Linked DNA regions of Sus scrofa. The protein of the gene in region 1 purifies or fractionates together with the protein of each later gene. This does not show direct contact. Links are inferred from orthologs where the notes say so. Each region holds a gene or a part of one and is shown on either strand. Other genes may lie near its edges. The genes, in order: CACYBP and OTUD5.

Region 1 (16,415 bases):
ATCCTTTTAATGAGACGCATGAGTCTTGGGCCTAGTGGTATAAAGGCACATTCCTCAATGTAGTCAGCACCTCTAGTTCAATCAATGTGCAAAAGGGGCCCATTAACTCTATACTTAATTTTTCATTCACCTTTTTAAGTGCCAAATTCTGTACTAGACACTGGTGATACAGTAAGATTCCTATACTTGGGTGATTCATTCTAGATTTAAAATCAATCCCACAGACAATGCCTAACCTTTACCAACTATATCCCAAATGCAATGTGGATGGCTGACTGACTAAAAGCAGTACATTACCACTGCAGGAGAACATTTAGCGCAGAGGAATTTTTGACCTAGAATGGAAGTATCTCTACTAAACATTTTTCGGAATAGCCATTACTAAGTAGGATTAAAATACTCTTATCATTTCCACTCTATACCAGTGACAATGAAGTTCTAACTTCACGTCAGAAACTTTTACAAATTCAAAAACCTTTTATGGGTATCTTAGCCTCTCTGGAACTACTGAAATGGAATCTCTTGGAATGGTGAGCACCACCAGCACAAAAGAATCAGCAAGTACAAAGACCTCCTTAAAAGGCAACTTGCTAGACACAAGCTCCCTTCAGGTGCCCTCTGACAGGTGAAAGCAGACATAATTGGATTAGTCAGTGGACATTAAGAGGTAAAGGGTCAAACTACAGACTTTATAATTCTATTACCTTTGAAAATCTATAATCTTAGCAAAGAATACAATTCTTAAACAAATGAAAGTCGACTCACTCTTTCTCTTTGCATTCTTTTTCAACCTGAGTCAGGTAGTCCCACCGTGTGTTTTCTGCTTTCTTCCTACATAAGATAAGAACTGTATCTGTCTTGACCTGGAAGAAAAGTGGGTAACAGCCATTTCTTAGAACACACAGAGATAAAGATGAATATTTAGAAAATTATTTACTCAATTACTTGAGTTACTATTATGTGTAGGACTGTTTTAGGTGCTAGTAATACTTTTATGAATAAGCCAGAGGCTGAAGTCTCATGGAGAAAGTTCATAATAAGCAAAACTGGAAAACCTTCAAATACTAGGTACTACCAAGTTAAAGAGGGTGTTAATGGGGATTGAGGAAGGAACTTGACTAGAAAGGCCTTTCTGAGATGAAATCTAAGGTATGGGTCAAGATCCAGGAAACAGGGCCTTCTAGACAGTTGACATATGAAGGAGAAAGGCTCCAAGGGAAGACTCTCAAAAAAGAGGAATGGCTGACTTTTAAGACTTAAGGCGAGAGTAACATAAAGGGGTCAGAGATGGGCAGAAAATCATAAGGGAGCACTGGTTAAGGAGTTTGTAAGGTGAGTAAACAGCAAGAACATAAAACTCTTTCAACAATGATCCACATAACTCTAGGAGTGTTCTGAATATTACTTCAACTATGGGATTAGCAGACGAAGAAGGGAGCAGGGAGTCACAAGCTAATCATTAAATTATATCCTAATTGCCTTTAAGCTGCTACATAACTGTAAAAACAAAAAGAATGGCACATCTTTATACCAGATGCATTAAATTTCATTTATTTAAATTAGGAAAGAGGGATTATTTCAATTAGTTTAAGTTATGAATAATATTTTTTCAAAGACAGTTTTATAGTTTCTACTAATCCAACTAGGCTAGTGCTTGATTCCTTTTATGTAGCAAAAACACATTAATACTTATAGTTACTACCATTAACTGAAGCACTTTTTATATATATCATTTTAGTGTATCATTTCAATTTCATAAAACAAATGAGAAAACCAGGGTAGACAGTGATTAACTGAGCTCCCAAAGGTCACAACTAGTAAGTGATAAAACTGGGAGTTCCCATCATGGCTCAGCAGTAACAAACCTGACTAGTATCCATGAGGACGTGGGTTTGATCCCTGGCCTCGCTCAGTGAGTTAAGGATCCAGCATTGCCGTGAGCTGTGGCGTAGTTCGAAGATGCGGCTCAGATCTGGCATGGCTGTAGCTGTGGCTCTAATTAGACCCCTACCCTGGAAACCTCCATATGCCACAGGTGTGGCCCTAAAAAGCAAAAAAAACAACCAACCAACCCCAAACCCTCAAGTTTCATTCTTAATCATTTTCATTTTATTCAATGCCCTCCTGATTTTAATGCAATATTCTTACTATAATCTATTATTCTAGATCAGGAGCTGGCAAACTTTTTCTGTAAAGGTAGATAATTAATATTTTAGGCTCTGTGGGCCACATCATCTGTTGGTAGCACAAAAGCAGCCACAGATAACATATGAATGTATGTTCATATAAAAATTTACAAAACAGGCAACAGGATAGATAAATCAGTTCTAGTTCATCTAATTATAAATTGGCCAGGTAAATGCATAAGGTTTCACAATGTTATGACAAAAAAAAGTAAACGTACTTTTTTTGAACTGCCCTCCACGGAGATGGGTTTCAAGAGATTGTTCACAATCATGGAGTAATTCTTCCCATTTAGATTCTTTACCAAAAGATCAAATGACCTACGACACAATAGTGAACACATTATCTTTCTGGTTCTCAGGAAAGGTGCTCTTCAGTTCTTGTGGGGAAAAAAGGCACAGTCTTAGGATATGCATTTGGCCATCCCAGATGATAAGACTCAACCTTTAAAGCAAGTGTAAAGGATAATTAATTCTAAATTTAAGCAGAATTTTAGACACCGAGAAGAACAGAATCCATAATAAGACACTGTCTTTCCTATATGAGAACTCACCTCTCTGTGAAATGCACCTGCACATTCTCAGTGGGGACTTGATGAACTCCAGTTAAGGTAATGTAGATTTTCACAAACTTATCTGACTGATCCCATCCTGGTAACAACAAAAAGAAAAAATATGAGTAAAGTCTGATACAATCTCTGGAATGGCAAATGCTTATAGTTCATTAAAAAAAAAAAAAAAACTAAGATAAAAATCTAGGAACAGACACATGAAAAAAATATACAAGAAATTTTTTTAGATGAGGAAATTGAGCGTCAGAGCAGTTAAGTAATCTATTCAAAGTTAGGCATCTAGCTAGTGCTAGAAGTTGGATTCAGATCCAGGTTTACTGAACACAAAGCCCATGTTCTTTCTTTTTATTCCTTAGAATGAGGAATATGATTGTTAAATATATTCCTTAAGAATAGCTCATTTCCCCTTTTTATGGAAATAATTTTGTCCTATTCCCAGATATTATTAATTCTCCACAAGCTGACTGGCTAAATATCAATACTGTCTAATTCCATAAGCATTTTTACTTCTCTAAGCAAATCAAAAAAATGCAATCCTAGCTTCCTCAATTCCTTTCCCTGACAAAGTAGAATGAATATAAATTTTTAGAGTCCAGGGGAAGTTCCCCTTGTGGCTCAGTGGTTAGCGAGTCTGACTAGCATCCATGAGGACGCAGGTTCAATCCCTGGCCTCACTCAATGGGTTATGGATCCAGTGTTACCGTGAGCTGTGGTGTAGATCGCAGATGCGGCTCGGATCCTGCATTACTATGGCCATGGTGTAGGTTGGCAGCTACAGCTCTGATTGGACACCTAGCCTGGGAACCTCCATATGCTGTGGTGCCGCCCTAAAAAGAAAGGGGGAAGAAAAAAAGGAGTCCAATTCATCCAAGTCTGCCAATTTGACTAACCTACACATATCCAGAAAAGGCTATTTCAGTATATATTATCAAATTATTCAGTCTCCAACCTAGATGAATTCTTTCAAAGAAAACATGCAAACATCACACAAGAAGCAAATGATAAAAATATACATGTATTTACTGTGTACTATATGACTTTTCCTCACCTAATTCTATAGAACAAAAATTCAGTGTTAATGAAAAAAGATCTCCTAAATGGTTCTATAGAACTTCATTTTGTTTCTCCCCATTCATTCAATCCATCCTCCACATTGCCAAATTTCTCCCTAAACACAAATCTAGGTTCCTAGTTAATACTCCATAATCCTACCACCTTAGTTTCCTACAGTTAACGACATGCACAGCATATCTCCTACAGTACTGCAGTGCATCACTGAAACATGAAACACACATTGCTTTTTGCTATGACGATACTCAAAACACATGATGCCTTTCATGTCCTTTGCCTTCCTTTTTTACATTTGCTGAACTCATTTTTTTTTTTTTTCCTATTTTTTGCTTTTTTGGGCCACATCTGCAGCATATGGAAGTTCCTGGGCTAGGAGTCGAATCAGAGCTGCAGCTAACCCACCAAGAGACGCCAGGGACTGAACCCGCATCTTCACGGATATTAGGTTTGTAACCCACTGAGCCACAATGGAACCTCCAGAACTCACTCTTTAAACTCAAATGTTTCTTCCAATTCTTCCTGACTTTTCCTCCCCCCCAGGGGAATTATTTTAACAGCTATATTCCCATAGTACTTTATAAATCTATTCAGTTAAGCAAATATTAAGTACTTACTATGTGCTACATACTGTGAGCATAAAGACTGTCCCTCTCCTTATGAGAGCCCATTACTCAGATTCCAAGTTACACTATTTCCAAAATAAAATGTCTATAATCAGTTGAGGGAAAATGGTATTATGACATTGTTATGGTATTAGCTGTATGTGTTCCAACCACACCATGAGCAGGATTGGGTCTTGGTCACTGCTGTGTACTCACAAGTCCAAGTACAATAAAGGCCCATATTAGATGCTCAAAAATGTTTCTTGAATTTAACTGGTTTCCCTTCTTCAGTTAATATGGGTGGATAGTTGGCCAAGTGAAAACCAAAAAAGGAAGAAAACCAAAACAAAAGCTGTGTTCCATGTATAATTAATGTATTTCAGAATAGGTTCCTTCTGTTGCTACTCATCACTGTACTAATCATCTTGCCCTCTTGTTAATTAGCTTCCAGAAATTCATCCCTTCTTCTAATCTCTTAAAAAGCATCTATTAAGTAAGAATTGACAGGTGTTCTCTTATAAATCACCAAAACCAAATACTTTATACACTGTTTTAAAAATTGATTTGGGGAGTTCCCGTGGTGGCTCAGTGGAAAACAAATCTGACTATCGTCCATGAGGACGCAGGTTTGATCCCTGGCCTTAGTCAGTGGGTTAAGAATCTGGCATTGCTGTGAGCTGTGGTGTAGCTTGGATCTGGAGTTGCTGTGGCATAGGCCAGTGGCTATAGCTCTGATCTGACCCCTAGCCTAGGAACCTCCATATGTGCATGTGCAGCCCTTAAAAAAAGAAAAAAAAAAAAAAAAAAAAGAAAAAAGAAAGACAAAGATAATAAAAAATCTGATTTTGTTAGTGGGTCACTACTGAGGAACAGGCTGCTCAGAGGCAGAAAGAACTAGATGGGGGGGGGCGCAAGTCATACCATAATTACTGATTTTTACTGTATATCCTGTTGTAATAGGAGCAACCACAGCCGCCGGCTTTTCATTTTCCAGAAGTTCTGCTTTCCTCTGTGATTTCTGCTGCATCTTGTTCTTGATTTCTGTCTCAATCTTGGACTTTTCAGTGGTCAGGGTATCACGTACTCTTTTTCTAGTAGCCTTTTCCAGAAGCACCTTCACCTCTTCTAGATCTTTCTGTAGCTGTGTTAAAAAAACACATTAGCTATGATAAATAACAACATGATGTTGTGCACATTGGTCATTTCAATTTACTGAAATAGGAGCTAATAATAAGAGGTTCATTTAAATTTTCTAGGGTTGAGTAGCAACAAGGATTTTTTCGTTCAGCCTATTGAATTGTAAATAACTCAAGCTCCCTTTTTTTAAAATAGGAAAACCTAATCTTCAAGTAACAATAGGTAATCGAGCCAAAACTTTCTAGTTTGGTAGACTGTTAACTCTTTTTTTTACTTTTGTGATTTATAAACATTTTCTGATTTGTTAAGATGAAATTCAACAAAAAGGAATTCTTGCATTTCCTTGTAACTTCCAGTCCGTCATCAGATATTAGGAATTTTCTAAATATTAAAAGATATAAGTGAATACATGATGAGTGTGGTGAAATGCTACAGCAACTTGACAGGTTATCCTCTACTTTCCATCACTAACTGGTCCTCACTGATCTTCCTATCCCAAATAATACATATAAAAAGTTTACATTTTTAAGGCAAAAGATAAAAAAAAGATATTTCTTCTAATAAGTTTGATTCTGAAGCTCCAGGTTTCTTTTACCATCAGAAGTCTGGGACCTGGTTTGGTTGCACAGTAAAGGGTAAAAACCTGGGCAAATAATCCAACATAAAACACAATCCTGGATCACTGGAAATGCCACCTGCTTCTTATTTGTTACACCAAGACATTGCCTATCCAAGGCTACTGCTATTTCTTTTCAGGGGCAGAGCCAAGATTTTGTGAGGTTAAGAGTCAAAGACACTGTTAGAAAATTAATGAGCTTAAAAACTTTTCCTCGGTTATCCTCTGACATAATGCAAATTTGTAAGATCTTTCTAAACAGGGGATTCATTTTTTCTTAAAATGACTTTACAATCTGTCTTGATACTAGCAATTTGAACAGAAGACTTTGATATTATAGCCTGAGATCATATAATGCTCAAAATAAAAATATTTAAATGCTTGATAACTCAGTATAATATGTGAAGTACAGTTTTAAAGTCTTTATGTTTCTTAATAGTATTAGAAAATGCAAAACAGGGGAGTTCCCCGTCATGGCGCAGCAGAAATGAATCCGACTAGGAACCATGAGGTTGTGGGTTCGATCTCTGCCTCGTTGAGTGGGTTAAGGATCTGGTGTTGTGGTGAGCTGAGGTGTAGGTTGCAGACACGGCTCAGCTCCGACGTTGCTGTGACTCAGGTGTAGGCAGGTGGCTACAGCTCCGATGGGACCCCTAGCCTGGGAACCTCCATATGCCACAGGTGTGGCCCTAAAAGGACAAAAGACAAAAAAAAAAAAAAAAAAGGAAAAAAGAAAAAATGCAAAAACAGAAAAATGAACTCTTTTATCACAAGTCTTTTTATCTCATTTAACTCCAATACTCTGTTTTGCCTGTATGTAACTGCTAAAAACATGGTTTAAAAAGTCTGTGTGCCCAGTCTCTGGTCCACATTCTATCTCCGGCTCTCAAAATTCATTTATTACTAAGGCAAAAAACTGCAACTCATCTTTCGAGCATACAACCACGATGCTGCTAGTTCAAAGCAATCTTTTTTTTTTTTTTTTTTTGGCTTTTTAGGGCCACACCTGCAGCATATGGAAGTTCCCAAGCTCGGGGTCAAATTGGAGCTGCAGCTGCCGGCCACAGCCACAGCAACCCACGATCCGAGCCTCATCTGAGACGTAAACACAACTCATGGCAACATCAGATCCTTAACCCAGGGAGCAAACCCAGGGATCGAACCCGCATTTTCATGGATACTAGTCAGGTTCGTAGCACACTGAGCCACAAAAGGAACTCCCAAAGCAATCTTTTTGTTATAATTTCTTCAAAAAGTCACGCTGATTCTAATAATATGATTAAAACATTTAAAATGTAAAATGAGTATGTTTTGTTTCCAGAGTAGGGATTTAGGTTTTTTTTAAAAAAGAAAATGTATAAATTCTAAACAATATGGATCCTTTTTCTAGGAGACTCAGAACTCTGTGAATTTAGCAATGTATGCCCAGACCCTCTTTACAGCCAGTTTGGCTCTACAGCACCACAAAAATGAGATATCCACTGTTAAGTCTGAAGCAACTTACAGCAGGCCTGTTTAAGATAATTCCTTAGTTCTCTGTTATTTACAAATTTGAAATGAGTAATAATGATCCCTTTGGTGCTTTTCCTGTAAATATCTTTAAGATGCCTGAGATACAGCAGTTTGTCACCTAATTTCTCTAGGCATTCATTTATCTTCCTTATGCAAAATCACATCTCCTTTTTATTCCTATCATAAATATATTCAAGCTTTCTCTTCTAACTTATTTCCAAGTTCTTCACTAAGAAGCATTAAAACCAAAGTGGTTCAAAACAGGCAAAGGACTTGAGCAGACATTTCTCCAAAGATGTACAAATGACCACCAAGCACATGAAAAGATGCTCAACATCATTAGTCATTTAAGGAAATACACATCAAATTCATAATGACATACCACTTCACACCCACCAGGATGATTAACATCAACAAACAACAACAAACTCCAGCAAATAAGAGTTGCTGAGGATGAACTGAAATTGGAACCTTCATACACTGCTTGTGGGAATGAAAAATAGTGCACTTTGGAAAAGAACTTAGCAGTTTGTCGGTTAACCATATGACTCTGTAATTCCACTCCTCCATATATACCACAGATTTGAAAACCTATGCCCACATAAAAAGCTGTACACAAATATTCACATCAGCAGTGTTCATAATAATCAAAGTGAAAATCAACCAAATGTCCATCAATTTATGAATCAAAATGTGGTATATACATACAATGGAATATTATTCAGCCATAAAAGTATATGCTTCACCATGGATGAACTTGAAAACATAACGCTAAGAGGCCAAAAAAGTCATATGCTTTAAGATTACATTTAGATGAAATGCTCGGAATAGGCAAATCCACAGAGACAGAAAGCAGACTGGTGGCTGCTGGCAGAAGAGGAGTAATGGGAAGTGACCGCCTAATGGCCACTTAATAGGTTTCCTTTGGGGGTGATGAAAATGTTCTTGAATCATATACTGATGGTTGCACAACACTGTGAATATACTAAAAAAAGCACTGCATTATACACTTTAAGATGGTAAAAACAGCGAATTTTATATCAAACAAAAAAACCCCCCAAATGTCCCTAAACTTATACACTGCAATTAGAAAGCCTGTTACTTTGAAAGGGATAAATATTGAGCAACTCGTGTATGTACAGTCACTTCAGAGTCTTTCCTCAGGGCACGTGGTACCCAAAGACCTATCTTTAAAACACATAACAAACTTGTGGCACATTATCCACAATAATACTTAAAACACATACACACTTTTTCATTTAAAGCAAATTCTTCGACTTAAAAAGTCAAATGTGAGGATTTCCCAGTCTTGTTCATATTAAGCAGAAGATTCCCAGGGAGTAAATCTAGTTAGTGGAAACCCAACAATTAACTGTGATTAACAGTATTGTCATTGTACTTAAGCCAGAAAAAAGAGCAAAGCAAGTATTATTATTCCCATTTTGTAATTGCACAAACTAAATCTCCAAAAAGTTAAGCCACCTGTGTTGAGTTTATAGAGCTTTAAAAAAAAGTTACAACCAATTTCCCAATATAGTTATTTTTTAAAACGCACATAGCAAACAATTGTTTTGCCAAGCACTGTTTACAACCCTGTGAAATGGATACCACTGTGGCCCAGAGATGCACCATAACTTGCCCAAAGTATGTGTAGAGAAAACATGACAGAGAATTTAAGTGCTAGGACTGAGGACTTCTCACCTTCCAACTGCCCTCTCAGTGGAACGACTCTCAGTTTTTGCAATCGGCTTTAATTTAACGAAGCTTCACGTCCAAAGGCTGGTGTAAAAGGAGTGAAAAGAGCCTGAGGATAACGTGAAGGTGACCAGCTCTTGGGTCCACGGTTGGATCCACCTGCCGCCGAGAACCGCAACACACCTCCGCTCACCTACAGCGCCGACCGCCGGCCGGGGTTGTGGAAGGCATCCAACGGCAACTTTCCGGGGTAAGCGAAGCCCCGAAGGCCCGCAGTGGCCGGTCGGCACCGGGGCCGCCACAGCTGGGCGGGTGGGAGGCCGCGGGGAAGCGCGGGAACCCAAGGACGCAGGAAAGCTGCCAGACAGGCAGGTGTCGCCGGCAGCCGCAGCGCAGCTCGATAGGGGAAACAGGGCGGTGGGGCGAAGGACGCAGCGGGAAGCTTTAGTAAGGCCGAGGGAGGAAGATGAGGCCAGACCCCTTACCTCTTCCAAAGCTGAAGCCATGGTCGAGCTGCGTCAGGCAAGGCCCGAGCTCCACCGGCACAGGGCGAGAACAGGAACGCCGCAACGAGCGCGCTGATTCCAAGCGCAGATCGCACGGACACGAGTCGCAGTGGCCGTGGCCGCGGCCTGAGAACACGCCCGACTCTGAACGGGAGAGCAGCCGGCCTCCGGCACGCGGCGCCTCTGGAACCTTCGCGAGTCCGTCGCCGAAGGCCCACCCCGCTCCAGCACCGCCTATAGGGCTTGGCCCCGCCCTGCCTATCCTGGCCCCGCCCCGCCCACCTCGCCCCGTAGCAACGGCTCAACTCTCGCGATCAAACCGGCAGTTCGAGAAGAGTAACGCCTCTTCCTTCCCGCCTGGGCAACTGTACGTAATTTACTTTGACCCCCATCGCGCCGACTGCGCAGTCGCAGCTCGAAACCGCCGCTTCTGCTTACCTTAAACCACCCCGGAAATAACGCACCAATCTTCGGGGCCTAAACCGGAAGTTGACTAGGCAGTCGAGTGGTTCGGTGCGCTCTAGGACCCGGGGCCACTTCGTCGGCCATCTTGTCTAAGACTGTGAACGTATGCGAGTAAAGGACGAAAAAAGGGATAAAGGCGAGCCTACGTGTGCTAAAACGGGAAAAAACGAGGACATTAAGTGCGCAGGATCCTGAGGGGAACGGTTGTGTTTTCACTGGGTTCTGGCGCTCTGGGGACGTCAGGATTCAGCGTATACGACGTGGTGGCGTCATCACCGGTCGCAGTAGGAGGTGGGGTTGCGTTGGCCGTGTGGCGGGACCCAGTGGCGGCTCCGAAGCGGAGTAAGCTTCCTAATATGCTGGGCGCCTCCCGGGGTGGCTGAGTTTGCTTCCTTCATCGACCAGTCACCAGATTTGGATTCGATTTCAGTGAGCCTATTAATGTCAAAGAAAATGTGAGCTAAGATTTCCTGAGGCTGCATTCTGCTCCGGTTCTGACTCCTGCAGCCCGGCTTAGTAAGGCCCTTGAAAAACTCACTTTTCAGATAGATTATTTTAGCCTTTGGGGACCTCAAAACGTCTGAAACACGGTTGAGAATGTAGACGGTTACCCCTGAGATGTCAAATAACCCACACTCGGCTTTATCAACCCCAAGGTAAAGATGATCCGCAAGTCACAGAAGGAAAAAAGTACAGAAAAATGCAGGGCCATTATCTCAATAAAGAATCAGAAGTACAATACAAAAACAAATTACTTTTGCACACAACTTATGGACGTTAAGGAAAAGATGCTAGAACTAGAGAAGTTCATATCGTTTGATTCCATTTAAACAAAATCTAAAGCTGTGAGACTGAAAATCAGGTTGTGTTTGGGAAGACAGTGACAGAAAGAAGCCACGAGGGGGCTTTTGAGATTCGGCTAATTTTTTTTTCTTGATTTGAGCCCTGGTTACAGATGTGTTCACTGTGTAGAAATTTCATTGAGCGTCCTTCTGTGCAGTTTCTTGTGTATGTTATTTTTAACTAAAAGTTATATTTAAGTAGGCCCAAGAGGTAATTTTCCTGGTAGAAATGTAATACCGATAACAATCGTCAAGATTCGTAGGACTGAACTCCAAAGATCTGTGCATTTTATTTATACTTCAGGTTTTTTTTAAAAAGTGTCTAACTGGAAGCTTGGAATTATTTAGGCACTTAAATAGGAACAGATATCCCATTGCACTATGTGAAAATTTGACCTAATGCAGTGGTAAAAATTTGCTTGATTATGCACCTGGAGCAACTCCACCCCTCAGATATCCTAAAGTCACAAGTTTTAAACACCACCTATATGTTCATTCCCACCACTCTTCGGAAATCCAGACGGTCTCTGCGTGGATGTCTCATAAGCAGGTCCAACTCAGCTTGTGTAAAAAAACGCCTCTCAATTTCTCGTCCTCACACCTCATTGCAATTCTTACAATGATTTGCTAGCTCTGTGAATGGCCACCTCATTCTCTTAATTGCTCAGGCCAAGAAGTCATACTTGAGTCTTCAGTTTCAGGTCCTACATCCCATCTTCTGGCAAGTCTTGGTTTTATCTTCAAAGTATGTTGGTAATAAAACTACTTCTCATAATCTCCACTGCTACCAACTGAGACTAAGGTGTCATTATTTTGTCTGGATTTTTATCCTCTTAACTGGTTTCTCTCCTTCTCCACAGTTTTCCACAGGGCAGCCAGAATAACCTTCACAATTGTATAGAATAAAGTCCAGACTCCTCACTATAACCCAGGATGTTCTACATGATTTTATATCTCACCTTTTATAAATTTCCCATCTCATGGAATTCATCTCTCACCACTCTCCCCTCTCCCTGGTTTAAACACTGGTATTTTTGTCATTCCTTGAATCCACTGAGTTTCTTCTTACCTCTGGTTCTGCATGTAAACTTTGCTTTCTCTCTGGAATGGTTTCCCACCAGATCGTCACTTGGCTTTGTCTGTCTTCCCTTTCTGCCCGCATTTAAAACACCTCAGAATTCCCATTCTTAGGAGTCAACAAAACAAAATTCTGCTTCTCTCCAGATGTATACTATAATTGTCCATACATCTATCATGTAGAAGCAAAACTGACTCCTTGCTCTGCTGCCATTACGAGTAATTGGGTACATGGGATCTCAAAGCAAAAACAAAAACTTTGTATCCTGAGATAGATAAAAAAACAACAAAAACAAACAAAAACCAACATCATCAACATACACATCAGTTCATTGTGTCTAGTTCTAGTTCCCCAATGAAACTCTGAACCTGAGCTTTTCCTATAAAATTAGACTCCTTAAAAATCAAACACACTTTATCTCTGACTTTTGCAATGCTAATGTCTAATAAAAGTATGGATAATAGTGAGAATTACTGTTTCTCAGCAGGAACAAACTACTTACAGAGTCTATACTTGGAAATTGTATAGTTTTTTCCTATAAATATTGTAATTTCTGTTTGGTGAGTTCATCTTTCTGCAGCCTGAACTTCCTTGTAAGTGAATTATTAAAAGATTGTGCTTTGAGTGCCCTTTTGACAGTAATCAAAAGTTTTGTTAAAGTGTAATTTCAAAAAGGTGAAATCAAGATTCTCAGGCAAATATAAAATGAGCTTTGCTATTTCATACAACTCATTGGTTAATGATAGAATCAATAAGTTGTTAAAACTATCAAAAAGTGCATTTGCATAGCTGAGTACTTATGGGCAATTTAACAATGGAATGTTAGTGTACATTTTCAAAGTTAGACATAAGCTGGTTAATGTCCTATGGTGTAGTAAACTACATATGGCCTTTGGAGTTATGTGTTCCTCTGGAAGGAAAATAGGGATTTGCACACTACTGAACAAAAATCTACAAGTTAACAAGTAACTTCACTAAGTGTAGGACCTTTAATCAGTAGTGAACAGTGAGTTCCACTTACTATTATGTCAAGACTACTCATGACCTCCTGTCAAATTCAGTAGATATTTTCTGAATAATTTACTTTTGATGTAAAATTTCTCATTGTTTTAACTACAACATGGACCAAACAAAAGATGTCTGTAGTCTGGGTTTGGGCCACAAACTAATTTTACAATCTCTGATTAGTATTTTTTTTAAAATACTGAATTGTAAGAGGAGATCTGCAATCTGACTTTCATTCAGTTCCATGTACACCCTGAATGAAAAGCAAGTTAGAAAAAAACACAAATCAGGATTCTAGGCACCCTGCCTTCACTCCAGGAGAGCCTCTGGAGCACTGTTGGATTATATAATGACACCCACTGTGACTCTCAAAGGCTAGCAGTAGCCACCCAATCCAGGACTAGCCAAGCATATTTTTGCAAGATTTTGGAATTGGGATGCTGAGATGCTAGTCCATCTCTGCTGGTCACTTGAAGACATGTAAACTTGGAAGCTGTGCATTTAGAAGCAGATGCCTCTTTTCAAAGAGGCAGGAGCAGATAAGCATCACCTGGCAAAACAAGCAGAAGAGTGATTATGAGAACAGTTGCTTAGGTTCCTGATAGAATACCAGTTCTCTCTCCCCATTGCTGCCTCAGGCCCAACAATTTAGCTTTTGGTAGCTATGAATTAAATATACTTTTTTCTTCTTATTTAATTGCATTATTAGTAAGCTAGCTGGAGAGAGTTTCTGTTAACTTGCAACCAAAGAATCTCTACAGAGAGGAATACAGGGCACTTGGCTGTGCTGTACAGGATATCGTTTTGTAGGGTAGGTATAACCTGGAACAAATTCCTGTGTATTTCTTCTTGCTTGTGTAGAGTCTAGTGTCAGATAAGTTTTACATAAAAACCGGGTTCAGATGATTCAGAATAAAATCAACTAAAGAAAGTAAAAAAGACATGTATGGTTTCCAGAACAAATGTTTATTACTGCTTAATGGGGCCAAAGGGGCAACACAAAGCATTGAAAACATCACTGGCTCACAAAAACAGTCACCTTGCTACCTTCTTGCATTTGTTTACTTCACAAGGCTTCATTCACACGTGAAAACAAGATACTAATCCAATTCAAGTTCATAACAATTATAAAAGTAAACATTTGTTGGGACAATGTACAATAAATTGCACTTTTCTTAACAAGCATTACATTTACATTTATAGAGTGTACTATACATAATACATGGAATTATGGAAACATCTAATTGGTCAGTGTTTAGAGAGGAGAAAAGCTGCTCACTAATTTCTTTTGTAGTCAATTAGCACAGTTTGGTCTAATCAACTCCTTTATTCTGGAACCTGTTTTCATTGGAGAAGCCATGGACAAAATCATAGAATTCACAAAAATAGATGGCATAGAATTTCTACTACCTCCCCAGCAAGGGGAAAGGTAGGAATTGAAATAAATAAAGTGGGACTGAGAAACTTTTTTTCTTTATTTGAATTAAGGATCCATATATTATGCAAAATACCAAAAATAGTGAAACTGATGCAAAGGTTATTGGAATCTTGGATTCTGGGACCATTTCCAGGCTTTATTCTTGTGCTTTCATGACACCAGAGTCTTGATGTATTTATGTCCTTATCAATCAGTTTCCTATATTTTAGTCCATATATAATATGTAGTTATTAACAGATTTTACATGTTAATTTATTGCCAATGAAAAGGGAAAGAAACTTAAAATATTAATTTTCTACTCAATGATTCTTTTAAAGTTTTCAGAATACCACAAATGATAAACCGGGGTGGGGGTGGGGAGAGTGGGACGTGTTGGTGAAGATGTTTTTATAGCAGGTAGCAAATTCATTTGAAGATAAACTTAACATGTAGTCTTTTAGATGGAAGCTTAGTAGGGAACATCTGACAGCTGGCTGTAGTCACTAGGCTACTTGTAAACATCCACTTTTCTCCTTACAACTCAAGATCATCTCCCACTGAGGTGCAGCCCATACTGAAGTATTTGTTTTGATAGCTTTTGAAAGGTAGGAAAATGCCTCAGGGCTTTGCCTGTATTGTATGGAAGCCACTCTAAGAGAGGAAGTATGTTGTGGAGCAGTTCCAGTTCAATGTTACCAGCATGGCAACTGGAGGGAACAAGTTACGTCTGGTAGGAAAACAGGGCACTGAGCTGTGTCTGGCCTTCTGTATCTGATCACCATGTGCATGTTCAGTTGCATGGTACCTGGGTATTCAAAAGAGGCAGGGATACTCCATATAAAATTCTACCAATCTCTCTTTCACACACACACACACACACACACACACAACTCCTCCATATAAAATTCTACCAATCTCTCTTTCACACACACACACACACACACACACACACACACACCCCTCACAACATTCAAATCAAACAACAGAGTTTGTCCACGCTCTCATCTACTTGTAACTGAAGCAAGAGAATCAGAGCTACTTTAGAGTGTTTTTTTGTAAAGAGTAAGTTATACAACGGAATCATCTTAGTAAATAAAAGTGTTCTTTTCAAGAGAGCTAAAACAAAGTATTTGATTTTTTAAAGGCTCCTTTCTCTCTAAAAGGATCCTGAAATCAGACAACTAACTTAGCAGAATGATTTGCAACTAATCAACTTAAAGGATCTAACTCTCACCTCTTGTGCCCTAAACTATGTATCCTCTCGTTTTTCTCAGTTTAGCTAGGAAATTAACCACTAGTTATTAGCTGGAAAATATTTTAAGAAAATGGAGTAAAGGTTTGAGAAAAATAAATATTAATACATAGCATAAGAGAAATAAAATTTTTGAAAACAATGGAAACAAGATAAATACTATTAAATATCCCAACATTAGTACAAAGATTACTTTCCTACTTTATTATGGAAATTTAAGAAAGCCAATGAAGAATAAACTACTAACTTAATAGCAGGGAGAGGGGAAGAGTGTTACTGGTTGCATGGAAAAACAGGCCATAGGCCTATGTCACATTCCTATTAGTGTTTCTGATAGGCACTCATATATAAAACATTATAGGTAACTGAAAATTCTTTTGCATTAAATCATATGTAACTAAATATAACTAAATTGTGCCATGGCTCAGGATGTAGGAAGCTAGCAAACAATGCACTGCAAAA
Region 2 (15,660 bases), on another chromosome or scaffold:
ACCGCCCCCCCCCACGCCCGCGCGTCTGCGCGCGCACCCGCGCGCGCACCAGGATACCCCCAGTAACCCGGATCCCGGCCTTCATGACCCTAGCACACGCACATTGTACGCTTATTCTCTGGTCAATTAGCATCCCAGCCCCCGGGCTCCCGCCGCCGCCACACACACACCTGGCCCTCCCAAGACCCTCGTGGTGGATACCTGGAGTCGGTCTGTGACGCGATGTCCTGCGAAGACGGTGCCAAAGCCCCCCTTACCCAGGAGGGGGCCGAGTCGGTACTCGGCCTCGAACGCTTCTCGATCCTTGCCTCCTACGCAGGCGGAGGCGGGGAAGTCAGGGTGGCGGCGTGCAGAGGCCGGCCACGACCCTCTCCCCCTCCCCCCCGCGCCGCCCTCAATCACCCCAGCCCGCCCGGCCTGGTCGCCGTAGGGGAGCCTCTCTCACCTGGCGGCGGCGTGGGGGTCATGGGGGCCACGGGCAGCCCCTGCAGAGGCTTAGTCAACATGGAGGAGGAGCTGCGCAGATTGAGCCCGCTGAGCCCGCAGGGCGTGGACGCCCGGGGCAGCGAGGCTGGGGAGCCAGGACTGGGGGGCGCCAGGGTGGAAGGTAAGGAAACTGGTGGCCCAGAGGCGCCGGCAAACAGCGCGATGTTAAGATTCGCCGCGCGCGCCAGCCCCGACGCTACTGAGACAGGGCACGCGCCTCCCGAGAGAGTCGCCCCGGGCGACGGCCCCGCCCACTTGGCTTTGATCAATCCGGACGCGGCACCTGCTGCACCCCAGCCAATCGGAGCCAGTCCTTATTTGCATACCACCCTCAACGTTCCAAGCACCCTTATGCAAATACATGCCCGGATCTTCCTCGGGGGCGGGGCCTGCATGCAAATAAGGGGGGCGCGCGCGAAGAGGAAACTGGTTATGGGAATCCCTTTTGCAGCAACCGCGTTTGTTTTGGTTGTTGCGCAGGGTTGTTTTTATGTAAGTGTGTGTACGTGGATATATAAACTTAAAAAAAATTCAATGCACCGCCTCCTTTTCTAGGAAGTTGCTTTGCCGCCGCCGGAGATAACGCCAGGCCTTCTAAGGCTTCTAAGAATCCCGGCCGGTCTCCAAAGGGTGCTCCTCACACCAGAACCAGAGCCCTTTAGGCGACTGGCAGCCTCCGCCCGGAAACTGAAGCTGAGGATCCTGGAAGAACCTGTTCAGCCGTCAGGGAGGGCTAACCTCCCTCACCACCGTGGGAGGAGCACTGGTCAAGGGCAGTGTTCCCACACCCGGAGGCCACGGCCTGCGGGCTGTTTGTGCAGCCCTTAACCTAGACAGACCTGCCTAGACCTGGCTGTGAGCCCAGTCAGCAGATCTAGAATCTGGAATGGCGAATGGGGCGCGCGCGCGGGGGGGGGGGTTCTTGGGGATGGGAGCAAGCCAGAGTGGGGGTGGCTTCTTGGGCATGCTTCCGGATGAGAGAGACGGACTGAGAGAGCTCCGGGAGGTGGTCAAGTCACAGATTTGGGGAAAATAGCTCTCGTGCCGCAGGAAGAGAGACAGGCACTCCAAAGACACACACAGAACTGCCGCGAGAGAAATACACAAACATGTGCCGCCATTCATGTGAGCTTGTCCTAGACACACATGCAGATACCTACTGTCACACATAGACAGACATCCACTGTCAGGCAGGCATGCTGCCAGAGTCAAGTTCCAGAATGACACTCGAGAGATGCACTGTTACAGAAAGGCACTCCAGAGAGATTCACATAGACCTACATGTAACGAGGACACAGATATGTCCTGCCAGACACACAGCCAGAACTTGTGACGAAGACACTGGCACCATCAGACATGCAGTGTCACAGAAAAGACTTGTACTGTTCCAGAAACGAGAGACCCAGAGTCTGACACAGGAACACACACAAACACTCCAGAGACACACATGCACTGCTCCAAAGCCAGACATATACTTAGGTGCTAGAGCAACAGATAGGCAGTGTCACAAAAACAGACATGGACAGATCCAGTCACAGTCACAGACACACACATACAGCAGACGTGCAGCGCCGTCACTGACACTGTTCAGAAATAGCTACCCAGAGTCTGTCACAGGAATACAAACGGACGTGCACCCTATCAGACAGAAACCACACGTGCACTGTCACGGACAGACCCACACAGACATGCACTCATCTCAGAAACAAACTGTCAGAGACAGAATCTCACACCCAGTCACCATCTGACACACCTGGAAACAAGCCCTCGTCACACACACAAACACACACACGACCAGAGAAACACTCTGTGAGAGGCACATAGACTTGGACTCACCACAGTCACACAGTCACACACACACACACACACACACACCCAAAAAGCAAATACACACATGTACTCTCCCTTATTCATCCAACATTTATTAGGGGTCTACTGTAAGCCTGCGAGGCCCTAGAAGGGGTGCAGATAATTAAGAGATACACAGATAAGCCAGGCATCACAGCCCTTGCCCAGGAAGTTGATAGTACAGTTTACTGGGGAAGGAGTAGACATATTTGTAGATAGAAATGAGAATGTAGATGGGGTCACACAGGGCTTCTCAGAAGGAGACCCCTCTACCCATCTTGAGAGACAAGGTTGGAGGCTTGGGACAGGGGAAGGGCAAATTCCAGGCAGAGGCCAAGGAAACTGGACAGAGAAGCAAGATGAAGTAGGCAGGGGCCAAATGGTACAGAAACGTCAACATTAGGATAATAAATAAGAACACCTGCTAACATTTGAACTCTCAGAATGTGCCAGGCACCGTGCCACCAAACATTATGTTGACCATATGCACTCTCGATGCTCACACCCAGAGTGTGAGGTAGTAGACATTAATCACCCCCATCCTACACACACGACACTGGAAACTCAGAGAGCCTGTGATTTGACCAAGGCCACACAGAAAAAGCTGATAAGGTTTCAAACCAACTCTCCAACACATGTGCTTGACCAGTGGCTTCCACAGGGACACCCTGCGGACAGCCACACCCTCACCCGCAGAGCTGGACACACATTCTTCCACAGGGGCATTCTGGAAGGACATCAAAAAGACAACTGACAAAACCCGAGGGCCAGCCATCCTTCTCACCTTGGCTTTACCTCTAGGAAGGGCAGGGAAGGAAAGTGTCAAGAGAACTGGGGAACACGAAAAAAAGGTTTAGCTGTCCCCCAGTTTCTAAAACCTGGTGGGGGGTCGGGAGTCCCCTCTGGTCACTTCCACTAAACTCACGTTGATATGCAGTGACCGTCGTGCCTGTCCAAAGCACTTCCTCATCAAACAATCACAAGAGCAAACATGCTGGGGTGAGAGGCAGGCAGAGACACTGGAAGTTCGGCTCCTGCCATCGAGCTCTCAGTTCGAGGCTCCCATCACACCCCAGGAAATGGGCTGGGCAGGCTATAGCCTGGGCCGATACTGAGGCTTGGGCAGTTGGCCAAGACAGGTGATAACAGGTCCAAAAGGTGGTTTAGTAAACTGTGAATCAAATATGAACTCTGGGCCCCCAGAGAGACCCCACTGGAGAGCATGTGGCCCTTCAGAGGTCAAGCCAAGGCCTGTGCCATCGCTGCCTCTGACCAGAGGCCCACCCACCCCCTGCCCCACACAGAACAGAGGCGCTCGGGGGAAACTGACATTTGGTTTTATTGTGCCAAGGACATTACAGATGGCGGATCTTGTTGACACCTGCAGGGCATGGGTGCCCCATCTGCCGATGCTGCTCCCACTCCCCACACTCAAATCCTGGGTGGCGGCCATGATCCTCAAAGGTACCCCACCCCGAGATTCCAAAGACGGGTGGTGGAGGTGGAAGCGTAAGGAATGCAGCGAGGTCAGAGTCTCATTGTCCAAAGCCCACTTGACACCTGCTCCCCCTGCCCTCCTACCTCAGTCTGACTCACACTCTAGACCCTGCCCACCTCCACAGAGCTGGAGGCCAGGGGCAGCAACCACATCTTTGTGCCCCGTGGCCTGCCTGCCCCCAAACCAGAGAGATGCCACCTTCACAGAGCCAATGCTGTTGTCTACATCACTTTTTGATTGGTTGATTTTATAAGATAAAAGTACATTTTAATAAAGAAAAAAATTCAACATTGAAGGCTCAGACATTCTTGGGGGTACTGGGAAGGGTATTTCCCACTTCTTCCTCCCACCTCCCTGGCATCATTGTGGAGGTGGGGTGATAAGTTTCTGATCTTGGAAGGAATGGGGGACAGGGAGACTTTCCTCTGTCTGAATGTCTCTCTTCAGGGGCTGCCTGGCTGCCAGTTGGTTTGTCTCTGTGCCTCTCGCCTACCTTCAGCACCCTTGCCCGAGTCCCCTGTGGAATGCAGGGATGGTGCTGTGCAGGGGGCAACAGGGCACATCAGCTGGCGAGGAGACGGGTGATGATGGTGGTGGCAGCGATGAGAGGGCGCGTGGGGGTGGGCCAGCCAGAGGGAAGTGGGGAGGAGCGAGAGGAGGGGAGAGAGGGAAGAAGGAATAGGCAAGAGGGAAGAAAGCCAAAGAAGGTGGGGTGGCACTGGAGGGCAAGAGTGGTGGGGGTTGGGAGATGGTCTCCAGTCTCTGGGTCTCCATCAACTCTTGTCTGGGGGTGGGTCTCTGTGCACTTTGTTTTTCTTCATACTGTCTAGGTATTCCTGTTGGGACACTGCCAGCACCGATGCTAGGATCTCATCATCATCCCAGTCGTTCAGACCTGCTGGGCAAAAGGAAGGGAAAAAGGATGACAGAGCGCTTGAAGCCTGCCTTCTCCTTGCTCTGCCAATTCCTGACTCTGGAGAGCTCCCCTTCAGGCCCCCATCACTCTTTTGTCTAAGCAGAGGGCTCCTCTGGGCCTACAAATCCCCCCTCACGTCCCCTGTGGGACAGCCCCTTGGGCCTGAAAAATTCTCCTTTCCTGGAAGATGGCCAGAGGCTCCAGGAGCCCCCTTTCAGGACTTGCTGCTGCTTCCCTCTCTCCCCGGCTGGCCCCTGGGCCCTAGGCAGAGGAGGCTTACCAAAGGCAGAGGGGGACATCTGCTGAATGAGGGCCCGGCATTCCAGAGCAGGGTAGAGGGACACGAGGGGGGAAGTAGCCCGGTCGGCCCCTGTCGAGAACTGGCTGCTTGTACCTGGGGCAGACAGACAATCAGAGGCAGGGCCCATGACCTAGGCAGGCCCTCCTAACCCCTGCATGCTACCTGTGAGCAAGCCACTAACCTGGTGCACAGGGCGAAGGAGGTTTGGCAAGAGCTAAGACAGTGCCTGGGGAAGGGGGCTTGATGCCCAGCTCAGCATGTAGCTCAGGGTGCTCGGGTGACGAGGCTGAACTCCGCTGCCGCGGGGACCGGCTGGTCCACTCCTCCAGACCACTGGAGGCTGCTGCTGTGGCAGAACTGCATGTGGCGCTGGCTTTCCGGGGCTACGGTGGGGATGGAAGAAGAAGTAAGGACACAGTCACGACCCTCCTCTGCTCCATCCCCAAAAGGCTTGCTCCCTCCCAGAATCCTGGCTATGACACAGCTTCCACATAGGCCACCCTCACTAAACCTGGTCACAAAAATGGACCATGGGATGAAGGTAAAACTCTTTCAGCGCCCCCCAACCTCACACCCTTAACAGCCAATCTGACAGGAAACCTGTTACTGCCACCTTCGAAACAGATCCAGAATCCAGCCCCTTCAGCAGCCCCCAGCACTACTGTAAAGAGTCTTCTCCTTGCTGGTCCCGGGCTTCCAACCTTGGCCCTAGACTCCACCCTGCACTCAGTGGTAAGAGGGATCCTAAGTCAGATCCCATTCTTCCTCTGCTCACAACCCTCTCATGGCTTCTGCCACATTCCGAATAAAAGCCAGAGTCCTCACCAGAGCCCACAAGCCCCTTCCGATCTGGCCCGCCACCTTCCCGGCTCCACCTACTACTACATCCTGTCCAGCCACAATGGTCTCCGGGCTGCTTCTGACTCACACCACGTGTGCACTTACCTCAGGGCCTTTGCTTCCGCTGGCCCTCTGCCTTCCCTGACATAGGACCTAATCCCCTCACCTCGGCAACTTTTGCTCAAATCTCACTTGCTCCGAGGCCGTGACATGCTATTGAATACTGTGAACTCCCTGCTCCACTCAGCCCTACTCCTCCCCCTTCCCAACCAGGCTCTATGTCTTTCATCCATAATACCTTGCAACTCATGTATTCATTATGTTTATCATTTTGTTCCACCCTTCATAAATGTAAGCACCCCCAAGGACAGGGAGCTGCGACGGCCTGCCTCACCGATGTACCCCTGTACACAGAGAACAATGCCTGGCACGACCCTGCAATAAGTATTTGTTCAACGAATTACTCAGCTCTTGCCAACATCTAGTCACTCTCAACTTGTGATGCCTCAACTGTCCATATGCCCGGCTTCACTTCCTGCCTCAAAAATTCAACCTTTCTGTGGGACGACAACCAGAGCCCGCCACCTTCACTGGCCTCCCAGCCAGGGTCAGGGGCCCCACTGATGCACGCTGTCTCCTTCTGCAGAGGAGATTGCTGAGGGTGGAGTGGGCAGGACTGATTTTACATCCTTGGCACAGAGCCTGGACACAGTAACATTTAGCGAAAGCTTGACCCTCTAAAACTACCTACGAGGCCTGCATGTTGTGACCAGTGGCTGCCCTCCCCTCCCTCCTTTAAAGAGCTTGCTCTGCACAAGTGCTGAGAGCTCTAAGGCGCAACACCAAGACCAAGACCAAGGTGAGGTACGGATAGGGCTGGGAGCTTCCTTCTTTCCTAGATGTCAAAACTACCTAATTTTTTTCTGCCTGGTTGGGGGAAAAACATAGGAAGTGAACACGTTCCTTGGCTGGACCAGTCAGTCACACAGCCCAGGACCGACCTGGCTGGGGCCACGGACTTGGCGGGCCTGTTTCTCTTGATCCCGTAGCCACTGCAGGTAGGACTCCCGAGCCACCTGCTCCTCAATGGCCTCGTTTGTGGCCTCCCAGTCTGTGGCCCGCTTCTTGTCTTCCAGCATCTGCTGTTCAATCCAGGACTCCTCCGACGTCTTTATGGCATTCTTCATCAGGGACTGCTCTGCAAACTGCAAGGAGGGGAGGAACAGGGATGTGCAATGACACTCAGAACGCCAGCCAAGAGCCAGGCCTGGCTAAGGGAGGTGGGCCCACAGGCCCGGAAGATTGGCGACAAGAAAGTAGGTATTCTTACTAAGCACCCCCCTGGGAAGGCTGCCTATTGATCAAGGACTGGGGGAAGGCAGGCTTGGGATGTGGGACTTGTCATTCCACACGCCTACACTTAGAAGCCCTGGTCCTAACCCCGAGAAGACACCTCAACTGAAGGACTAAGTCTGGGGCAGTCAGGTGCCCTCCAGCCAAGGACAAAATTAAAAGAAGTCTCACCCAGCGACGACTCACTTGCTGAGGCCTTCCTCACCTATACCCGGATGGGACCAAGGAGAAAAGATCACCTGAGAAGTTAGCAGCACATGCACAGGGTGGAGGGAGTATTGGGGCACTTAAGTGGACAAGAGGACCGTGTCAGCATGGTGTGGGGGTGCTATGAGTTGTGCGACACTGTACGAGAATGCCCTTTGTCAGGCTGTGAGACAAAATAGGGTTTTTTTAAAAATGAAATAATGAACAGTATCAGTGTGTATCACAGGGAATAAATGTAAGTATCATTCAGTGAAACTTTTTAAATTTTTTTATATAATGATTTTTATTTTTTTCCATCATAGCTGGTTCACAGTGTTCAGTGAAACATATTTGAATGCATATATACACACCAATGTGTGTGTGCACTAATTAAAGATGTAAGATGTAATTTTTTTACCCGTGGATAACAGTCCAAAAAAGTACGTAAAACTGTTAGAATAAGCCAATTAAAAAATGGGCAAAACACACAACTTCATCAAAAAAGATATACAGGAAGTTCCCATCATGGCTCAGAGGAAACGAATCTGATTAGTATCCATGAGGATGCAGGTTCGATCCCTGGCCTCGCTCAGTGGGTTAAGGATCTGGCATTGCCATGAGCTGTGGCATAGGTCTCAGATGTGGCTTGGTTCTACTGTTGCTGTGGCTGTGGTGTAGGCCAGCAGCTACCGCTCTGATTCGACCCCCAGCCTGAGAACTTCTTTGCGCCGCACGTGCAGCCCTAAAAAGACCAAGAAAAATTTTTAAAAAGATACACAGCTGGCAAATAAGCACGTGGAAAGATGCTCAACACCACTTGTCATTAGGAATTGCAAACTAAAATGGTGAGGTGGAGTTCCCGTCGTGGCACAGCGGAACTGAATCCAACTAGGAATCATGAGGTTGTGGGTTCGATACCTGGCCTCGCTCAGCGGGTTAACAATCTGGCATTGCCATGAGCTGTGGTGTGGGTTGCAGACGTGGCTCGGATCTGGCGTTGCTGTGGCCGTGGTGTAGGCCAGTGGCTATAGCTCTGATTCGACCCCTAGCCTGGGAACCTCCTTACGCCATGGGAGCAGCCCTAAAAAAAAAAGATGAGCTACCTATTAGTTGAAGACGGTAAGAACGGAAGCTTCATGTAGATACAGATGGTCACATACAGAAATATTTCTAGGTATGTATATTAACACACAAGTTAGTATACACACATATACCTCCTTGCTGTCAGCTGAAAGGGCCTAGAAGCAAGGATACCCCAGTAGCAAGGAGCACACTCAGCACCCAGATCTTGATTTCTAATAGCATTCTCCAACAAAGGAATAGGGCTCCTTGGAGAAATGGCTAGTTCTAGGACTGGGGCAGGAAATATACAAGATGTACCTGGAACACCTTCCAGTACCAAAAATTAAGTATTCATGACAAAAACCAAACAAAAAAACCCAAGAAACACTCCCCCAAAACACCGCCACAATGATGGAGTATGTCAGAGATGCAGGAACCAACCAAAAGAGTTCCCAATAGCCAAAACTGGAATAATGTTGAGCACCAAATGAAAAGAGAATTGGATTGTAACCCAAAGTGTAAAAGGTATAAAACAAACACCCATCAGCCCATGTTAATATAAATGACTGAATAAATTAATAAATGGAGGCTAAGAGGCAAATCTCCCTTGCAGACAAGGTCCAAATAATTTACGTAGATATTCCGTCCTCAAGGAGATGGAGCATAACCCCCAAGTATTAAGTGTGGGCTGGACATAATGACTTCCTTCCTACCACATGGAAAAGGGGGGTGGGGGGGGAGAGTAATTGTACAGTGGCGAAAACTTGACAGACACTACTTTCTGTCAGGTGATCAAGGTCAACATCAACAGTTATAAATCACAGTCACAGTACATACTGTTGATGCGATGGGAATGAGCATAGCGCTTCATTCACCACCGTGACCGTCCGCCCCAAAGCCATAAACCCAGTCTCCTCCTGAGAAAAACATCAAATTCCCAAAGAGAAACATCCTACAATATACCTAGACCAGTACTCCTCCAAACTGTCGGGGCCACCAAAAATAAAGAAAGAGTGAGAAACCATCACAGACAGGGGAGCCCAAGGAGACATGATGACTTCAGTTAATAATAATGTATCACTACTGGTCCACCTAACTGTAACAAATGCACCAGTCATCTGATAAATTAAATAATAGCAAAACTGTGTGCAAGGAGGAGGAGGGTACATGGGACCTCTGCACTATCTTCTCAATTTTTCTGTAAATCTAAAACTATTCTAAACAATTAAGTCTATTAAAAAAGACGTAGGGCATTCACATTTTTCACAAGTGACCAAACCACAAAAAGGCATGGATGAATCTTAAAACATACAGCGTTACTTCAAAGAAACCACTGAAAAAAATACATACTGTGCGATACCAATTGTATGACCTTCTAGAAAAGGTAAAACTCTAGAGTCTGTAAACAGATCAAAACCAAGGAAATTTACAGAAACGGTCCCAGCCAAGAGGAGCCAAAGACGACGTGATCACTAAATGTAACATGGTATCCTGGATAGGATCCTGGAACAGGTAAGATCATTAGGGGGAAAACTGAGGTACTGTGAATAAAGTATGGTCTTTAGTTAATACAGCAATATTGGTTCATTAGCTGTGACAAACATACATTAATCACAGTGGGGTATGTGGGAATGCTCCAATCGCAGTAATTACATAAATCTCAAAGTGTTGAGATTAAAAGTTTACCCAAAAAAAAAAAATCATAAAACCTCTATGTTGGTGGTGTTTAGGGTGTTGTTTCCCTAAATGGTGCCTCATTTTATGAGGCAGGAGCACTTTCCGTTTGTAGGAAGTGAAACGTGCACAGAAGGTATCAAAATCCCCAGCAAACAACTGTTTATGAGACAGAGAATGAGAATCTGTCAGTGTGTGCTAGGAAAATGCACTGCCACCTTCTGAGCACCTACTAGGCACCAGACCCAGCATTAGACACTTTCTGCATTGGCCAAGCTGCCAGCCAGATTACTCATACATTCTGCCCTAGGTCCCACAGCCAGTAAGTGGTGGGGCCCGTCCTACACTCCAAGTCTCTGGGACCACAGCTGTCTGTACCTGCTGAGGTTCAGAGGAGGATCCATGTGGGTGCCAAGACACCCAATCAAGCCTTGGCTCACACTTCCCAAGTATGACCCCCCCCATTCCACAATACCAATCCTCAACAGGTAAAAGATGAGTGAGTCCGCTCAGACAGGCAAACTGAGACCAGAGAATGGAGCCCTGAGAGATCACCTTGGGTAACACTCTAATTTTATAGAGGCAAAACCTTTGGAACGACTCAGAGAGGGAATAGGACATTTAAAATTGTGGGCTAGGAGCAAAACAGTGACCCTGACAGAGGTTTCTGGCCTCCATATCCAGCATCCATTCTGGGCACAGACACCTGCTTACCCCCGGTTTGAATGATGGCAGGCCCAGCCCCACACCAATGGTGGCCTTGTTAGGATTCACCACTGAATTGTAGTGGATATTCCGATGGTAGCTGACACGGATGGGTTCATCCTCATTTTGATGGATCCCATGGAATGTGTTGATGGGTTCTGCAAAGAAAGAGAAGGAGGGAGCATCCACAGTGGGCTGGGTGGGGCAGGCTCAGACCAGGCGTGACCAGTCGCTCGCCTACCCACCACAGAAGTACCTGTGCTGTACTGATACACCTCCACGGGCCGGTTGTACATCTCTGCCATGGCCTGCATCTCAATGTGGTTGCCATGGCAGTTGTTTTTCCGCTTCCGGTTGATGTAGGTGGTGAAGTCTTCTGTGACATAGTTGGAGAAATAGTCGGCATTCTTCATCTGCAGGATAAATCAGAGGGTCAAGGTCTATGTGCAGAAGGGATCCAGCCGCTTTGTACCCGCCCCAAGGCCTGCAAGGTCTCACCAGATAGTCCATGCAGTGCTTTCGCACAACCTCATGCATGTCCTGGTCTCCATACACTTGGTCAGCTGTGGGGACAAAAGGAGAGGCTGGGGTCAGCGTGGCCACCCAAGAACAGTTTGAGTGGCAGACCTCAAAGGAGGGCTGGGGGCCAGGGAAGCTCCCTTTCCTACCCTAAGGCATGGAGAATTCTTGGCCTCATGGGCTAGAATAGGGTCATGAAAAAAGAGGCAGGCAGGCAGGTACAGTCTTTAAGAGTAAGCTTACGGGTGAGAGGGACACAACCACAGGCCTTTTGGGCAGATGATTTTGTCAGCAAATATTTTAAATCCTGTAAGTGGCCTTAAGCACCATCAATTCCACACGTACACGTCCCTCCTCACTCTTCCCATGAGGAAACTGAGGCTCAGGGAGTTTGCAGCTTGAAGGTCACAGAGAAGGCAGTTTGGGACAAATTCACCTCTAGAATTCAGTTTTCCTGACTCTCAGGAGTCAGCATGGCCTTTATGAAGTTTAAAAAAAAAATGCAGGAGTTCCCGTCGTGGCGCAGTGGTTAACGAATCCGACTAGGAACCATGAGGTTGCGGGTTCGGTCCCTGCCCTTGCTCAGTGGGTTAACGATCTGGCGTTGCTGTGAGCTGTGGTGTAGGTTGCAGACACGGCTCGGATCCCGCGTTGCTGTGGCTCTGGCGTAGGCCAGTGGCTGTGACTCCGATTCCACCCCTAGCCTGGGAACCTCCATATGCCGAGGGAGCGGCCCAAGAAATAGCAAAAAGAGAAAAAAAAAATGCAAAGGAAAGGGAAAAGAAAAAAAAAGGAAGAAAAACTGGGCTCTAAGCCCAGTTCTGCTAGGTACAGGTGAGCAAAAGGACCCAAGGCAAGTGACCCAAGTGTTCTGAGCTTCATAGGCCTCACGTGTAAAATGGGATCAAGCTGGGGAACTTCCCAGAAGGCCTCTTGTGGGATTAATGAGATAACAGGTGTGACGTGACTAACACTGGGTTTGGAACAGAGCAGTCACTCGGAGCTCCCTTTCCTGAAGTGGGGTACTGTGAAGGTGACAGAGGCGAGCAAAATCCCACCCCTATCCACAAGCAGCATGTAGTTTACAAGAACACTAAGACACAACATATACACCTCACTTAAGCTTAATTCAGGAAGGGCAGGGGTTCTCCTGTGACTCAGCAGGTTAAGGATCTGGTGTTGTCACTGCAGCGGCTTGGCCATGGCCTGGGTTCAATCCTTGGCCAGGGAACTTGGTATGCTGTGGGCACAGCCACAAAAAGGAAAAAAAAAAAAAGGGAAGAAGGAACTAGGATCCCCTCTGCCTTGCTTGATGATGATGTCCGCATATATATCGTTCCCTCTTTTCAAGAGGTTCTTTCCATCCTCTTTGGCTGCCTACCTGTCAAACACCAACATACTCTTAAAACAGTTCCCTGTCCTCAAGGGCATCTCTATCACCAGATTTATCAAAGGTGTGTCCGGACTTCTTCTGCCTGATCACACTAGGCTCCCACTGAGGATAGAAGGTGGGTCACATCCAGGACCACCCCCAGCTCAGAGCCTGATGCAGGGCAAGAAATTGAGAACAGTCTGCTGAGTACATGGGTAGGTTAGCGGGGAGCTGGGGAGCCTTCTCCCTGAGAAATTAACGTGGGCTTGAAGATGAGGCACACCTCATGTCCACCGGCTAAGACAAAGAAGGAATTGCCCTTTGTCTCCCCGGAGACCTATGGCTCTGATGGGATCGCCCAGCACAGAGAGCTCTTCTGTGACAGCCAGTCTACCTCCGTTAAGAATCACCAGAAGCACGCCTTCGATGCCCTTCCCTGCCCTCCCTGGAGGGCTCGGTGAGATAAGGTGAAAAAGGCCACTCTGAGATAGAAAATGGGGCCCGTGCTTGTCTCACGTCCTCCTGGAGGTGCAGAGACCTGAGGGTGACGGGGAGTGGGGGTTGTAAAGGCGGGAAGGGGTAGCCCCTTCACCGATGTAAACAAGGATGTGGGTTCTGTGGCTACACTCTCCCCCCCACCCCCCAACCGTGGCACTTCCAGCAAGTCACGTGCCCTGTGCACAGGCCGGGGGGCCCCCTACTGCTGCCTTTCTTAGAAGCCAGGACCACAGAACCCGCTGTGGCTGCAGAGCTGCTTGAGGAGCTATTTCTGTAGAATAAACTTGGGGGTGCCGAAGAGGCAGTGCTGTTGGCAGCTGCAGTAAACAGGAACTGAGATGAGCGTGAAGGGGTTAAACAGGGGTTGGTCTACCAGGCTCAGGGAGGTGGCTGAGATGCTCCTAGGGAAGGGTCAACAGGCATTTCCCGGCCTGGCAAGTAGATCTACCCGAGCTAGATGCCAGATTCAGGGAGACTACGAGACAAGGAAGGGACTTGCAGGAGAATCTTCCCATGAGGATCCCCCCATTTCCCTGTCATTGACCCCTTCACCTGACGGGCAGACTCTGCTGCTTCCTAGCTATGTGGCACTGGACAAAGCCTTTAACCTCTCAGGGCCACAATGTCCTCATCCATAAAGGAAGAGAGTAACTCCTCTTCCTATCACTGGCTGTTAAAGACAAAAGGGGAGGGCCTGCTAAACACCTGAGGCCTACTGTGTTCAGGAGGTGGGGCTCCAGAGTTCTGCTGTAGCACAGTGGGTTAAGGATCTGGCATCGTCGCAGCGGTGGCATAGGTCACAGCTGCAGCTTGGATTCAATCCCTAGCAGGGGAACTTCCATATGTCAACACACACACACCCAAGAGCCACCAAATTAACATCAAATCAATAACATAGGTCTCCCAAAACAGGTTCAAGTGTGGACAAGGTACATGTGACCTTCTCTACTTACCTATAAAATATACCACCTTCTCTCCTCAGTTCTAAGACGCACTGACAGGTGGTACAGTACATATACTTACTCACAGCTTCTGGGAGGGGGCACCAACCTCACTGGTTATAAGAGGTACCCTAGGAGTTCCCGTCCTGGCTCAGAGGAAACAATCTGACTGGCATCCATGAGGTTGCAGGTTCGACCCCTGGCCTCACTCAGTGGGTTAAGGACCCGGTGTTGCCGGCAGCTATGGTGTAGGTCGCAGACAAAGCTCAGATCCCGCGTTGCTGCGGCTGTGGTGTAGGCCGGCGGCTACAGCTCTGATTAGACCCCTAGCCTGAGAACCTCCGTATGCCTTGGGTGCAGCCCTAAAAAGACTTAAAAAAAAAAAGTGGTACCCTAGTTTTGGAATCATCAATGTGGAAGAAAAGGTGCATTTCTGAACCAAGAAAACAAGGCAACAATACCTTGACAACTAGGGAGAGTAGTAGGATCTTCACAATGACATAAGGCCAGAAAAACCCCCAGGACAGGGCTAAGCACACAGGAAGTCCTCACCTGAGGAGAGGCTTGTCTTACTTTGCCAGCCCCACCTCTGTCCTCCAGCAAGCTCTCTTCCTCCTGAGAGGCTGGCACATGGGACTAGGGGCTGAGCTGGACTTCCCTGCGGAGGCCAAGGTGGGGGGAAAGGGCCCAATGGTCCTGCGGAGGCAGGGGAATTCAGAGCACTTGTTTTGATAGAAACCGAAACTCCTCCTCTTGCTGACACTGCACTTGTGGGCAATCTGCACCTGCTCTCCCCTCCTAGAGTCCAGCTGGAAGGGGGTCCCCTACCACCTCACCTCTGTCCCTAACCCAAGTAGGGCTCAGAAATCCTCCATACAATACTACCACTGGTCCCACCAAGACCTTTTCCAATCCATTCCATCCTCACCCCCAAAACCCCACTTTACACAAGAGGGATACTGAGTTACAGAAATGTGCCAGAGCTGGCCCAAGATCAACATTTGGAAGGATAAGGAGAAGCCAGGCTTTCAAGGATAACTGGTAACTTTAAGCCCTGATGCCCTAACGTGACATTGACAATACCCCAATCCAGCTATCACCTTAGCCACCTGACTTCCTGGGCCAGGCCTGACCCTGCCTGCCTCAGTTTCTCCACCAGCACAAGCAGGAATCAGTTGGAAACCTGGAAAGGCCTATAGTGGGGAGAGATTACAGATATCAGGGGCTGTACCCCTTGCTAGGGCCACAGAAGTCAGCATGAGCTTTCCCTTGCCACACTCTACTTCTACCCTTTCTCTGAGCATACAGAAACAGCAGCAGTGGGCTAAGATTCTGGCTGCAGCAGCTCAGGTCGCTGCAGAGGCGCAGGTTCGATCCTAGGCCCAGAGCAGTGGGTTAAAAGCTCCGGTGTTGCCACAATTCTGGCATAGGTTGCTGCAGTGCTCAGATTCAATCCTTGGC

The links.
Region 2: the proteins of CACYBP (region 1) and OTUD5 purify together in Homo sapiens (affinity purification with mass spectrometry; 4 studies listed by BioGRID and IntAct, with this or other methods). This does not show direct contact. The link is inferred for Sus scrofa from reciprocal best matches to the Homo sapiens genes CACYBP and OTUD5.

What each region holds. Positions count from the first base shown.
Region 1 is NC_010451.4:117,057,872-117,074,286, reverse strand, and holds the start of CACYBP (calcyclin-binding protein), read right to left. Parts: upstream 10,293-16,415; 5' UTR 9,895-10,292; coding exon 9,874-9,894; intron 9,473-9,873; exon of another isoform or gene 9,395-9,472; intron 5,570-9,394; coding exon 5,350-5,569; intron 2,835-5,349; coding exon 2,738-2,834; intron 2,505-2,737; coding exon 2,405-2,504; intron 864-2,404; coding exon 766-863; intron 1-765. UniProt on the Homo sapiens protein: May be involved in calcium-dependent ubiquitination and subsequent proteasomal degradation of target proteins. Probably serves as a molecular bridge in ubiquitin E3 complexes. Participates in the ubiquitin-mediated degradation of beta-catenin (CTNNB1).
Region 2 is NC_010461.5:42,997,842-43,013,501, forward strand, and holds the end of OTUD5 (OTU domain-containing protein 5), read right to left. Parts: intron 11,433-15,660; coding exon 11,368-11,432; intron 11,283-11,367; coding exon 11,126-11,282; intron 11,028-11,125; coding exon 10,879-11,027; intron 7,095-10,878; coding exon 6,891-7,094; intron 5,433-6,890; coding exon 5,231-5,432; intron 5,143-5,230; coding exon 5,029-5,142; intron 4,731-5,028; coding exon 4,606-4,730; 3' UTR 3,650-4,605; downstream 1-3,649. Other genes in the region: PIM2 (serine/threonine-protein kinase pim-2), read right to left, coding at 202-311, 446-506. UniProt on the Homo sapiens protein: Deubiquitinating enzyme that functions as a negative regulator of the innate immune system. Has peptidase activity towards 'Lys-48'- and 'Lys-63'-linked polyubiquitin chains. Can also cleave 'Lys-11'-linked ubiquitin chains (in vitro).